3 separate regions of the Mus musculus genome follow, and all the other regions are reported to be linked to region 2. The links are microRNA targets in miRTarBase. Many come from high-throughput screens and were not tested one by one. Region 2 holds a microRNA gene; each other region holds the end of a gene's coding sequence.

Region 1 (4,000 bases), not on the chromosome of region 2:
TGTGATGAGCAGGTTGGTGTTAAGGGAAATCCTCAAGGATTCAACCAGGGCCTGGACTGCGATGTGATTGTAGCTGAGGTATGTGTCCCCTGTGCATCTAAAGCTTTCAGACTTTCACTCAATACTCCTGTCAGTCTCCATTTTTTTTTTTTTTTTTTCCTCATTTGGGTAACACAGACCAGACTAGAATTGCAATCTTGAGTAACTTTTTAAAAATTTATTTTTATTTCATGTGTATCAGTATTTTGCCTGCATGTATGTCTTTTTGAGGGTGTCATGAGCTGTAGGTCTTGGGAATTGAAGCCAGGTCCTCTGGAAAAACAACCAGTGCTCATAACTGTGAGCCATTTCTCTATCTATTAAGCAATCTTGAATAACTTAAAGTAGCTTGAGTTTTTATTTTCTAGGTTCGTTCCACCAGTCATAAACCAGATGAAATATATGGCATGATTGAGAGACTGTCCCCTGGCACCCGCAAGATTGAGTTATTTGGACGACCACACAATGTGCAGCCCAACTGGTAACATTAAGAGAACAGGCTCTTGCCTCCCTACCTCCTGCCCGTCCCTCCCCCAAAAAACCCTTTATGGACAAAGACAGATGTCACTGAGTTGTATACATTCTGGTAGTCTAGATGGCTTAAGCTTTACCAGAATCTACAACATTCATTAGAACCCAAAGGGCTGTTCTTAAAGCTCTAACTGCCCAAGGATCGTCAGCTATTCTGTGGGCTATATTAAATCTGCCCCCTAGTGGCTACTAAGTATTTATTCAATCTGTCAGTTTTAATGTTTGATGCCAATGGTGAGCATTTTAATTATCCAAGGACTATTCACTAGCAGTGACTGAATGAAGTAGGCCTGGCTACCATCAATTACTAATCCTTAGATAGACAGATCCGGCTGGATCTTGGGGCATGAGACTGAAGCAGGAGGATTGCAAGCTTAAGGCCTGCCAATGCTTATTTAGAGGTCTCAAAAGGGGAGGGGGGCTGGTAGTGTTAAGAGTTTAAGAGTGTATATGTAAGGTGCCTAGGTTCAACTCTTAGGACCACCAAAGAAATTAAAATCCAATCAGTTTTTGTATTGACACTGCCATATTATTTGCTCTGATCTTTTTAAAAGTTGATGTAGGCCGGGCGTGGTGGCGCATGCCTTTAATCCCAGCACTCAGGAGGCATAGGCAGGTGGATTTCTGAAGCCAGCCTGGTCTACAAAGTGAGTTCCAGGTCAGCCGGGGCTATACAAAGAAACCCTGTCTCAAAAACCAAACCAAACCAAACCAAAAAAATTGACGTGGACTGGGCATAGTAGAGCACACCTTTAGCCTCAGCACTTGGGAGGCAGAGGCAAGTAGATCTCTGAGTTCAAGGTTAGCCTGGTCTACATGGAGAGTTAGTTCCAGGACAGCCTGAGATAGGTATCACCAGAAAGTAGAACATTTTAAGTATTAAGCCCTTACAGGATTTTTGGTTTGCCTCTTCTTTCCCCCTTGTTTTAGGATTACTCTTGGAAACCAACTGGATGGGATACACCTACTAGACCCAGATGTGGTTGCCAGGTTTAAGCAAAGGTATCCGGACGGCATCATCTCTAAACCTAAGAATTTATAGACGCACTTCCTTACAAAGCTAAGCGTTCAGAGCCATGGGCTACAGGCCACACCTTAAGAGGACTGTTTACGCAATAGTGTCCCCTACCCTGTATATAAATAAATAAAAGTTTGTATTATAATTGGAATTTCTGAAGTGAAATTATGGCTTTCCACTTAGTGTGTGTCCTTGTGCTACTCTTATTTAGCGTGATTCATTATAAGTAAAAGAAGAATGTTAGCTACCTAGCGTGTTAGAAAAGACTACACAGGTTCACAGTGCTTAGCAATTAATATGCTATAAACAGGATTAATTTGAATTTTACCATGCATATGGTACTCTAAACTTTTGCTTATTCTATGTACGTTTGCTGGTTTATTAGTCTGTAGCTAATTTCTAAGAAAAACAAGGTACCTTCAATTAAAATTAGAGCTTAGAATATAAAAAATTGGCCTATGCATTATGTAAATGAATGCACATTTAAAAGATGTTTCATCAAACACAGATTCTTTACTTTGTAAAACCTCTTATTAGGGGTATAGAGTTCTGCTTCTTACATGCAAAACTGGTAACCAAGTCAGGTAAAGAAATACTTGTACAGAAAAAGATCGTTTTGGATGATGTCGTTTCCCCTCTAGCCCAATGTGCTAAGACTGAGACAAACAGAATTTGTGTGTTTTTGTCAGGAGCAGGGAGGGGGACCTTAAGATAGGATCTCACTAGGTAATCCTGGCTAACTTCAAGCTCAGAGATCCAACCTGCCTCTTGCCTCCTAAGTTGTAGGATTAAAGGGGAGTGCCACCACACCCGGTCTATTTTTTGAGACAAAGTCTGATTTAAGTTCAGATCAAAAATCTTCCTGTCTACTTCCAAAGTATTAGGATTAAAGGCACGGGCCACCATGTTCTGTAAAACCTTTACCTCATGCATCTTAGACTGTTCTCAAACTCACTAGTGGGCCAAGGATGACCTTGAACTCCTGATCTTCCAGCCTGGGGTCTGAACTCAGAGCTTTATAGTGCTAAGCCATAACCCCAGGCCTTCAAACCTTCCTCCTAATAGCACTGTGTATATCAATAATAGTTCCCTTTTAAAGGGCTATCACACATTTTATTTTAAATCAGTATTTTCATTCCTCCTTCACTTGGGATTTAAACCCAGTGCACTTTACCACTGAGCTGAAACCCTAAGTCTCTCTTCTCCCAGAGCTTTTTCTGCCGAGAACAAAGCAAAGCACTCGCCCAATGACATTCTAGGCAAGTTGTCTGACCGTTTTACTGGTATGTTTCTTCTAATGACCCCTATGATTTGCTCCCATCACTCTTCCCTGTGCTTGCTAGTAAGCTGGTAATTTTGCTTACAGTTGAGAGTAAAAAGCAATTCTAAATTACAGTGAATTTGCTGGCCCTGCTACATAGTCTGGCCTCTGCTGAAGAAAGAAAAGGGAGATGGAGGCATGAAGGACTATGGGTAAAGGTCAGGCACTACAGAAGCCCAGTTTGTGTTTAAAAAACAGGCTTTTGGCCGGGCGGTGGTGGCGCACGCCTTTAATCCCAGCACTTGGGAGGCAGAGCAGGTGGATTTCTGAGTTCGAGGCCAGCCTGGTCTACAAAATGAGTTCCAGGACAGCCAGGGCTACATAGAGAAACCCTGTCTGGAAAACCAACAAAACAAAACAAAAAAACAGGCTTTTGGACTCGTGTTCAGCAGATGAATCTTCAAGGCTTGGAGAAGACGAAGGCTACTTCACAAACACCACAGAGTTTGGATTTCTAGAGGCCACCCAGGCCAAGAATACATCCCTAAGAGAGAAAGATACATACAAACTTATTATAGCAAAACCATACCCAAATATTTCCCTACATCTCCAAAGTATAACATCATCAAGTAGCCTAAAAGTCAGATGTGGTAGACTGTGCCAATCCACCTCGTAGAGGACACATATGCCCTTTCACGGATATAGGTAATTCCCTGGGATATTTTGGTAGAAGGGCAAAGTTTTCACTTACTACTCACCTTCTCTACACTTAGCATTTACTCTGCTACTTTCCCCCTTACCTATCCCTCACCAAATTCTTTGACACTGGTAATTGAAATCAGGACCTTACCCATGCCAGGCAAGCAGTTGTCAGTTGAGCTACATCCTCATCTCTAAGCAATTGAACATCTAGGAGCATCTCTAATCAGATACCTACCCACCCACACATGTCAAGTGGCTCTGCCTAATAAGGTCATGCTCAGTCCACACGGGTACGGGTACCATGCTCCCCAACAGTTTCACTTCACTACCTCTTGATTTATAAGGACTGTTAAACTCACCTGCAGTGCTTCACCACACACTCATTGCTGCAGTACTCGTTGTCCCAGTCCTTACTGACAACAGGAGGGTTCTCACAACCAGACCTCACA
Region 2 (4,361 bases):
AAAGAGGTCTTCTGGGTATCTAAGTTTCAGAACCTTGAACCGGGATTCTAGCTCAAAAATGTTAAGGAGGACCCTCTTTCTAGACTTCTGTGCTTCTGGCATCTGTGCTTCATCAGCAAATGAAAAGTACAGTCTTTGTTCTAGAACATCGTAAAGGGTCCTCTTTCTGGATAATTGGGCATCAAAGATTAGAGGTGGAGCTTAGCTTCTGAACAGAGTGGAGGTCCCCTTTCTAGATATCTGGACATCAGAGAGTGGGGATGGAGTCCAGGTTCTAGTACATTGTGAAAGTTCTTTATGGATGTCTGAACGTCATCAAAGGCTATAGATGGATAGAGTTCTGGGTCTATAACATCATTGAGAATGCTCTTTTCTGGACATCTGTGCTTCATCAAAGGCTGGAGGTAGATTCTTAGGTCTGGAACATCAGAGAGGTCCCTCTTTCAGGACATCTGAGCTTCATCAAAGGCTAGATAGAGGGTCCTAGATCTGGAACATCAGAGAGGGCCATCTTTCTGGACATCTGAGCTTCATCAAAGGCTAGAGAGAGGGTCCTAGATCTGGAACATCAGAGAGGGCCATCTTTCTGGACATCTGAGCTTCATCAAAGGCTAGAGAGAGGGTCCTAGATCTGGAACATCAGAGAGGGCCATCTTTCTGGACATCTGTGCTTCATCAAAGGCTGGAGGTAGATTCTTAGAACTGGAACATCATAGAGGACTCTCTTTCTAGACATCTGAGCTTCATCAATGGCTGGAGGGAGGGTCCTAGATCTGGAACATCAGAGAGGTCCCTCTTTCTGGACATCTGAGCTTCACCAATGGCTGGAGGGAGGGTCCTAGTGCTGGAACATCAGAAAGGTCCCTCTTTCTGGACATCTGAGTTTCATCAAAGGCTGGAGGTAGAGTCTTAGGTCTGGAGCATCAGAGGAGTCCCTCTTTCTGGGCTGGAGGTAGATTCTTAGGTCTGAAACGTTAAAGAGGTCCCACTTTCTGGACATCTGAGCTTCAAAAGCTGGAGGGAGGGTCCTAGTTCTGGAATTCTGAGCTTTATCAAAGACTAAAGGTATAGTTCTCACACTAGTTCTCCCTCAAGAGCATCCATATTTGTGAACATCTGAACATCACTCAAGAATGGAGCCAGAGTCTTAGCTCTAGAGCGACAAAAGAGCCAGTCTTCCTGGATATCTACAGTTCATCAGAGAGAGATTGAGTCTTGATTCTAGAAAATCAAAGAGGTTCCTCTTTTTACACATACAAACTTCACTGGAGACAAACAAGCTAGAGTCCTAGATCAAAATTATCAAGGCGGTCTCTTTTTCTGAGCTTCTTCAAGAACCATCGTTGAGTTATAGTTTTATATTGTCCATTTCTCTGGGACATTTGGGCTTTGTGAGAGACTGGAGGTGGATTCCTGGCGCTAGAAAACTGAACAGTTTCCAGATGTTTATGCTTTGGTGGTGACTGGTCTAGACTATGAAAGACTTCCTTTAGACATAGGAGTTCTCTTAGAGGCTACAGCTGGAGCTTGGCACTAGAATATCAAAGAACTACCTCTTTCTGGTCTTCTGGGCTTGACTGAACACATGAGCGAGAGTTAGAGTCCCAGGTCTAGAACATCACAAAAGAAAGCCCCTCCTTCTTGGTCCCTGAGGTCCATCAGAGGCTGAAGCTGGGCTCTGTGCTCTGACAAATCAAAAGGGCTTACCCTGGATGTCCAGAGTCTGTCAGAGACTGGAGTTGATGTGCTGGCCCAAGGACATGAGCAGACTCCTGAAGCTGGGTATCCTCATCAGAGGCTGGGTTGGGACTCAGGGCTGGACTATAAACACAGAACTCCACTTAGAGACACTGACAAAATGTGAGGCTTGTTTGAAAGCTGGAGATGAGTTATTTTCTTGGGAATATCAAAAAGGTCTTTTTTTTTTTCCTGGACATTTGGGCTCCATCAGAAGCTGAAGTGGAGGCCTTTTCGGTAACGCAGCATTAGGGCACTCACTCTGGAAGCCTGAGTTTCAAAGAGTTCTTCTGGGCTCTTGGACTCTCTCGGCTGGGCTCAGCATCTGGAGGCATGTCTTCTCACGGTTGTCTGCACTGCGACTCAATCACACATGCCAAAGTCCCCATCATGGCTGGTACTGGCTCTTCCAGGCTGGGTCATGCCCAAGTCTTGAAGATGGTGCTCTTGGCAGGGGGTGTTCAGAAGAGCATGCAGCTGCACTTGCCAGGTGCTTCTCGGTGCGAATGAGGAAGTGGGAAAAGGAGGAAAGACAGAAGGGGGGAGAAAGAGAAGGATAGAGGAGGAAAAAAGGAGAGGAGAGAGAAGAAAGGGGAAGATGAAGAATCAAAAGAAAAAGCAAAGACGTGTAGGGAAGAGGCAGAGGAAGAAGAAAAGTCAGAAGAGGAAGGAGAGGAAGAAAAAGGATGAAAAGAGGGAAGAGGAGAGAAGGGGAGGGGTGACGGTGGCGGTGGCAGTGGCAATGCAGCAGTGATCTTAGTAGATGCTGGTCACTGTGTGGCAACTGTGGTCTTGGTAGACATGTGGCAGCTGTAGTGATTATGACTGTCATCTTCCTCTTTGCTGGGGTAATGTTCGTGTTACCATCTGCTCTACCAAAACTCAGCTCCATTTCCCATCCCCTTGCTCCCAATTCCCTCCTCTCAGCTGCTCAGGCAGCCTGACTGTCCCCCCAAGGCCTCTCAAAAGCCATGAGGGTAGGGCTCACCTCCCCAAGCTCAACCAGCATACCTGATGCCAGGCATCATGAATGTCTGAGCACTCACTCAGACCCATTCAGGAACCACTTTTGTAGAAGCTGTGTTGGCCCCAAGTCCCAATGGGACCACCCATCTGGGTCAAGATGACGCCTCAGCTAGGGCCCTGGCATAGCCCCGGGGAGTGTGGAGGGCAAGGGGGGTGCACAGAACTCAGCCCCGGAGCAACATTTTCTCTGGAGCTCCAAGGACCAGAGCTGTGAGCCCCTCAGGCTCCAAAGCCAGACCTCCCACAGCTCTTGCATGGCTTCATTTCCAGAAGGAAACTGGCATCCCGAGCACACGAGGAAAGGGTTCTCCTAAACCCACCGAGCACAGGCCCTTCATCGGGCCCCAGTGTATCCATCTCTTAAGCACACACAGGGCAGCACAAAGGTGACTTTCTGGGGTTTGAGGCAACTCCTCTACCCCACTACACTACAAAAGGAAGCCCCAGCAAGACACCCACCCTCCCTCGTATTAGTAGCACACCCATCACTGCTTTAGTTAAAACAAGAAATTTATTGAAAGCACCATGAGCCACTAGGCCCCATGCTTCTAAGCACATTGCGGCTGCCTCACAACAGCCCTGTGAGGTAGGAACCTGAGCCCATTTCACAGATGTAGACTCAACAGTGAAGACACAACAGCCTTTCTCCCACCCCCCCAAGTCTCAGGGTCCATGGGTAGGGATCAAGGCCACATGCCTGACCCCAGGGTCAGCGCAGTTCATCAGTCAGTAGGTGGGTCTCTCTACTCAAGGGGAGGCCAGGGTCCAGAGTCTTGGGTCCAGCATGTCCCACAGGAAATGTGCAAGGCGTCCCCGTGGCTGTAGAGGCTGAGAGAGACACAGCTGCAGATGAAGCCATCTGCTCCCCATCCCCATGGCAGATAAAGAGTTTTCATGCACTAGGCAGGGTAGGAACTGGAGGGGGCAACCCAGCCCTGTGCTCAGAAAGCCTGAGCTATGTAGAAGGCCCAACTTCTGGACAGCCATGGGGGTGGGGCAACACCTACACACCAGCTCCTGACTTTTCCAATAAATAAAAACCTATTCTAGGATTTTCCATCTTTCTCATACCACCCCCAAGACTTCTAGCCAATTCACAGTCTATTAAACCTTGGTGGTTTTCCAAAGACTTTGGCCTTGCCCTCCTAGAGGGGTGTTCTTAATAGTCTTCCTGGTCTTGTATCTCAGAGCCTCCCATCAAAACTGCTGAATCCTAACATTTGAAAGCAAGGCTTTCTATGTCGCTCCAGAGCTGGGTAGGTGCTACCCTCCTGCCCTCCACTCTGTCCGAGTCTCACATGGACCTGAAGTTTCAGAAACTAAGGTACATCTGTACCCAGGGCCCACCTCCACAACAGTCAGTATGGGTTAGCAGACATGAGCACCTGCATACCAAGCAACAAAACACTCGTTTTCACACACACACAAAAAAAACCTCACTGAATCCCCCAATCAAACCAGGTTGGTTTGACTATTTCTAGGATATGGCAAACAGCCAAGGCCACCACACGTTCCACAAGGGACAAGGATGACCAGAACTCAGACCTTGATTCTCATGAGCCACCATATGATGGGCAGTCACTAATGACACCCTTTGT
Region 3 (4,000 bases), not on the chromosome of region 2:
ATAGCCAAGCTGGCCTCAAGCTTACAGTCCTCTTGCCCTGCCTCCTCCTGAGAGCTTGCGTACAGGCGAGCGCCCACACACCCAGCTTGCTCTGTCCCTTGTGGTCCTGATTCTTTGGTGCTACATTTGAGGTTCACACCTGGCCAGAGGCTCAATGTTGATTCTGCTGCCTCCTTGGTAGCACCAGGTGATAGTAGCCTGGGTCCTCTGTTTAGGACACTGACCACCAGAATCTTTGCTTCATCAACAACTTCGGGTTGCCCGTGCAGCCAGGCGTGGCTTCCTGATGCATGTTGCTCTCCTGTGATCCAGACAAGCAGCAGAGATTGGACATGTGTTTCTGTCCCGGTGTGATGAAGGCTTTTCCAATGTAGTTCCTCCCATGCTCGGAGTGTGCCAGACTGGAAACCAGACTGGGACAGCCCCTCCACTCTACTCATCTTTGGGCACATGGAGATTTCTTTGCTGAGACATGTTTGGGTCAGCCCCTCTTGAGCCAGCTGTCGAGGTGACTTGCGGTGTTTGGTCCTCAGGTGGAGCTAGAGCGGGCCAAGACACAGCTCATGTCCATGCTCATGATGAACCTGGAGTCCAGGCCTGTGATTTTTGAGGATGTGGGGAGGCAGGTGTTGGCTACACATTCAAGAAAGCTGCCCCACGAGCTATGTACACTCATTCGTGAGTATGCCCTAAAGCTTGGCTTGGGATCATTTGAGACTGCCCTGATGCAAACAGACAGACGGATCTCCTGTTGTCTGCCATACCACAATCCCCGGCTTCCCCAAAGTCCTTTGCAAGCTCCATCCTGTACTAATAGGCTCCTCAGCCTTGGGAAGGAGGCATCTGGTCACTGTTTGAGTGCACACAGTTTGAGATGGAGTTGGAAACTCCACTCTTGCCCTCACTGTCTTTTACTCTCTGTTGTAGGCAACGTGAAGCCAGAAGATATCAAGAGGGTTGCTTCCAAGATGCTCCGTGGCAAGCCTGCTGTGGCTGCCCTGGGTGATTTGACTGACCTACCCACCTATGAGCACATCCAGGCAGCGCTGTCCAGCAGAAATGGACACCTGCCCAGATCATACCGGCTGTTCCGGTAGAGTCCCTTAGAGCTGGCTGTAGAGTGCTTGTGTGCATGTTACTGTTGGTGTAGACACTGCATAAGGCTAGCTAGCTGTGTGAACAGTGCCAACAGTGAAACTCTGGAAACTTGAATGAAAGTTACTGTTGCCACTGCACTTTTGTGTCTTTCAAACACAAGTGGCTTATTTTTCATCTAACAAGTATTTTTCCTGAGTATCTGCCAAAGCAGGTGCTGTCTGGCCACTAGATGTTTCTGGAGCAAGGAAGGCTGGGAAAGATTAGAAAGTCTTGGGACTCTAGGGAGACAAAGCGCCACACTCTGAAAGCACACAGGGCCTACCCATTGGTAGAACCACTGGCATAAATTGTACTCATTTTTTTCCCCTTCAAATAGGATCTCACAGTAAAACCCTGAGTGGCTTGAGACTTGATATAAGATATACTCATCTCAAACTCAGAGACCCTCCTGCCTCTGCCTCCCAGGTGCTAAAATTATAGGCAAGTGCTACCACACCTGGCCTCATTTCTAAAGCTTAAGTTCTTTAACAAGCCTAAAGGTATTTCACAATCTTCTCCTTTGTTTTTTGAGATAAAATACTAATTAGCCCTGGCTGGCCTCACAGTGAGCTTGTCTTTGCCTCAGTTACTGGTCTTTCTAGTAAGAGTCACCATGCCAGTTGTATCTCACAATTATTTACAAGTCCAGTTTTAATTTCCCACTTCATCTGCACTAGTTTACGTGTTTAACTTTTCCAACTGAAATGCCCTCTAAATGTAAAGGCTATCTAAATGTAAATTGCTATGGCTGTACTTTGCCCCCCGACCCCTAAGACTTTATGATCTTGATCTTGGGCCAAACTGGGAAGTTCCAGGATTACCTCAGTCTTTTCTAAGGTGCCAGAGAATGTCCACAAAGAAGCACCAAACTGCTGGGCTGTGGTAGTGCACGCCTTTAATCCCAGCATTCAGGAGGCAGAAGCAGGTGGTTCTCCAAGTTCGAGGCCAGCCTGGTCTACAGAGAGTTCCAGGACAGCCGGGGCTACAGAGAAACCTGTCTGGAACTCTTACCACATCAAACCTTATTCAAGCCAGGAATAGTTGAGGCAGGATTATGAAGTCCAGGGCAGCCTGTCTGGGAGAGAAAAGGCTGTCTTCCCAGTAGAATTTGCAGTTCACAGTGGTTTATTGAAGCAGGTGACTTTCCATATTGGAGAAGCTGATGCTGTTGAGTTTCACCTTATTCGTTGGTTTATTATGGTTCACTGGAGTCCCAAGTCGTCACTTTTTCCAGCTATTGCTGCTTCTGGCTGTGAGCAGGGACAGTACCTAGCAGAAAGACCTGGGATGGGACTGAGTAGCAGGTGACAGCTGAGACCAAATGTTTGGCCTTTGACTTCTATGTCCTTTTAAAACCCTGGGGTGTCCTGAGGCCCCAAGATGCATGCAGACTTCTTCCAAGGTTCACTCTTTGGCCAGAAAGAGTTTACAATTGAATATATCCTTATTTATTTAAAAATATAAATATGGAAAAATAAATGATTTAGAAGACTAGAGTGGATGCCCCTAGGTGTCTGTACATTCAAGGCTATGTCTGAAGGGGTGGGGTAAGATTGAGAGCAATGATGCTCCTAAGCTTTCTTCAAGGAGTGAAACCCAGCAAGGTGCTGTCTGGTAACAATTTCTCATGCCTTTCCGGGACTAGCAGCACAAAAGCAAATGGTCTGAAGCTCCTAAAAACTATGAGTTTAATATAGCTAGGCTTGGCCTGTAGAGTGGAGAGGTCCCTACTCAACTGGGGGTTGGGAGCCTGGGACCAGGATGTAGAACCTCAAAGCCTGTCAAAATGTCTGTAGGGAATATCCCAGAATTGAAGTCCTGGCAGGTTCTAGGCATTGAGCATCTAGGATACCAGAGGTTGCCTGATCCTTCCCTGGAGGGAAGGAGCTACTAGGAGGATACAGATGGAGAACCTGGGCTCTAGCATGAGAACAGGAATAAATAAAAGGAGTTTGAAGAGACAGCAGTGCTCAAGGGCAAGAAGTCTGGACTACTCCTGAGGACAAAACTGCTGCTTGGTGTCCACATGCCCTGCCATGTGCCTGTGGGAACATGGTATAAATGTCCTGAGGGCTGGGTCTGTGGTGAGAGCAGGGAGCCCCTGGCCGTGGTGGATTAGAATCCCAGCATTACAGGAGCAGCTGAGAAGAAGCCCATCCTTTGCAGTGACCTTGGCCCCCGTTGCTGTGGCCAGTCCTGGTCTGGAATCTTCAGGACACGGTGCAAACTGCACTGGAGCTCTGGCTCTTCAGTGCTTCCTGTCTCTGAATCTCCTTTGAAATCCGCCTTTTAATTCCTATCAAGTACAATTCTCGGTCAAACTTGCCGGCAGCTAATGGGATGCTGTGAAAAAAAGACCTTTAATAAGAGCTGGCTTTGCCAGGCGTGGTGGCGTTTAATCCCAGCACTCGGGAGGCAGAGGCAGGCGATTTTTGAGTTCGAGGCCAGCCTGGTCTACAGAGTGAGTTCCAGGACAGCCAGGGCTACACAGAGAAACCCTGTCTTGAAAAACCAAAAAAAAAAAAAAAAAAAAAAAAAAAAGAGCTGGCCTCAACTTCACTCAGCTGCACACCTGCTGAGCCCCATAGGAAATGGGCCACTGCCCAGAGGTTAGGGTTCTTCGTCCCATCTAGGTTGCTCTAGCCCCAACCACAACCCTGTTGTGCCAAAAGAAGGTGATGCTGATGCCTCCAGGAGCTTGCTCAACCCTAGAGAAGCAGGTCACAGAACAAGCCGTTTCTTCATGCAACCACAAAGATTAGTAACCTGGGAGTTATGCCCTAAGAAGCAGCTGGGACTGAGGCTCAGATGGACGCAGATTCATAATAGCCTAGGGGCTGCGTGGAACATTAGGCCTCGCCTA

Evidence for each region. The annotated mature microRNA mmu-miR-673-3p reads UCCGGGGCUGAGUUCUGUGCACC and lies in region 2 at 2,916-2,938, opposite strand. An mRNA with a match to its seed (bases 2 to 7 or 8) in the 3' UTR can be bound and repressed. Matches are read on the target gene's strand: a 7mer-m8 pairs with bases 2 to 8, a 7mer-A1 pairs with bases 2 to 7 and ends in A, and an 8mer does both.
Region 1: the mRNA of Tox4 is a reported target of mmu-miR-673-3p. Seed matches in the 3' UTR shown: 7mer-m8 at 1,234-1,240.
Region 3: the mRNA of Inpp5e is a reported target of mmu-miR-673-3p. Seed matches in the 3' UTR shown: 7mer-m8 at 2,114-2,120.

The regions. Positions count from the first base shown.
Region 1 is chr14:52,292,594-52,296,593 of GRCm38, reverse strand. It overlaps Tox4 (TOX high mobility group box family member 4), which reads right to left. Exons shown (of 10, transcript NM_023434.3): 9 at 3,911-4,000; 10 at 1,085-3,393. The coding sequence ends at 3,333. Mettl3 (methyltransferase like 3) reads left to right here. Exons shown (of 11, transcript NM_019721.2): 9 at 13-78; 10 at 408-520; 11 at 1,501-1,753. The coding sequence ends at 1,612. Among named protein-coding and RNA genes, the nearest start is that of Mettl3, 11 kb to the left of the region's middle.
Region 2 is chr12:109,570,621-109,574,981 of GRCm38, reverse strand. Mir673 (microRNA 673) reads right to left here and starts at 2,992; the gene lies at 2,902-2,992. Meg3 (maternally expressed 3) reads right to left here. Exons shown (of 10, transcript NR_027652.1): 10 at 3,253-3,591. It also overlaps a transcript of Rtl1 not described here.
Region 3 is chr2:26,394,492-26,398,491 of GRCm38, forward strand. It overlaps Inpp5e (inositol polyphosphate-5-phosphatase E), which reads right to left. Exons shown (of 10, transcript NM_033134.3): 10 at 1,758-3,480. The coding sequence ends at 3,348. It overlaps Pmpca (peptidase (mitochondrial processing) alpha), which reads left to right. Exons shown (of 13, transcript NM_173180.3): 12 at 534-678; 13 at 928-2,630. The coding sequence ends at 1,097. Among named protein-coding and RNA genes, the nearest start is that of Pmpca, 7.1 kb to the left of the region's middle.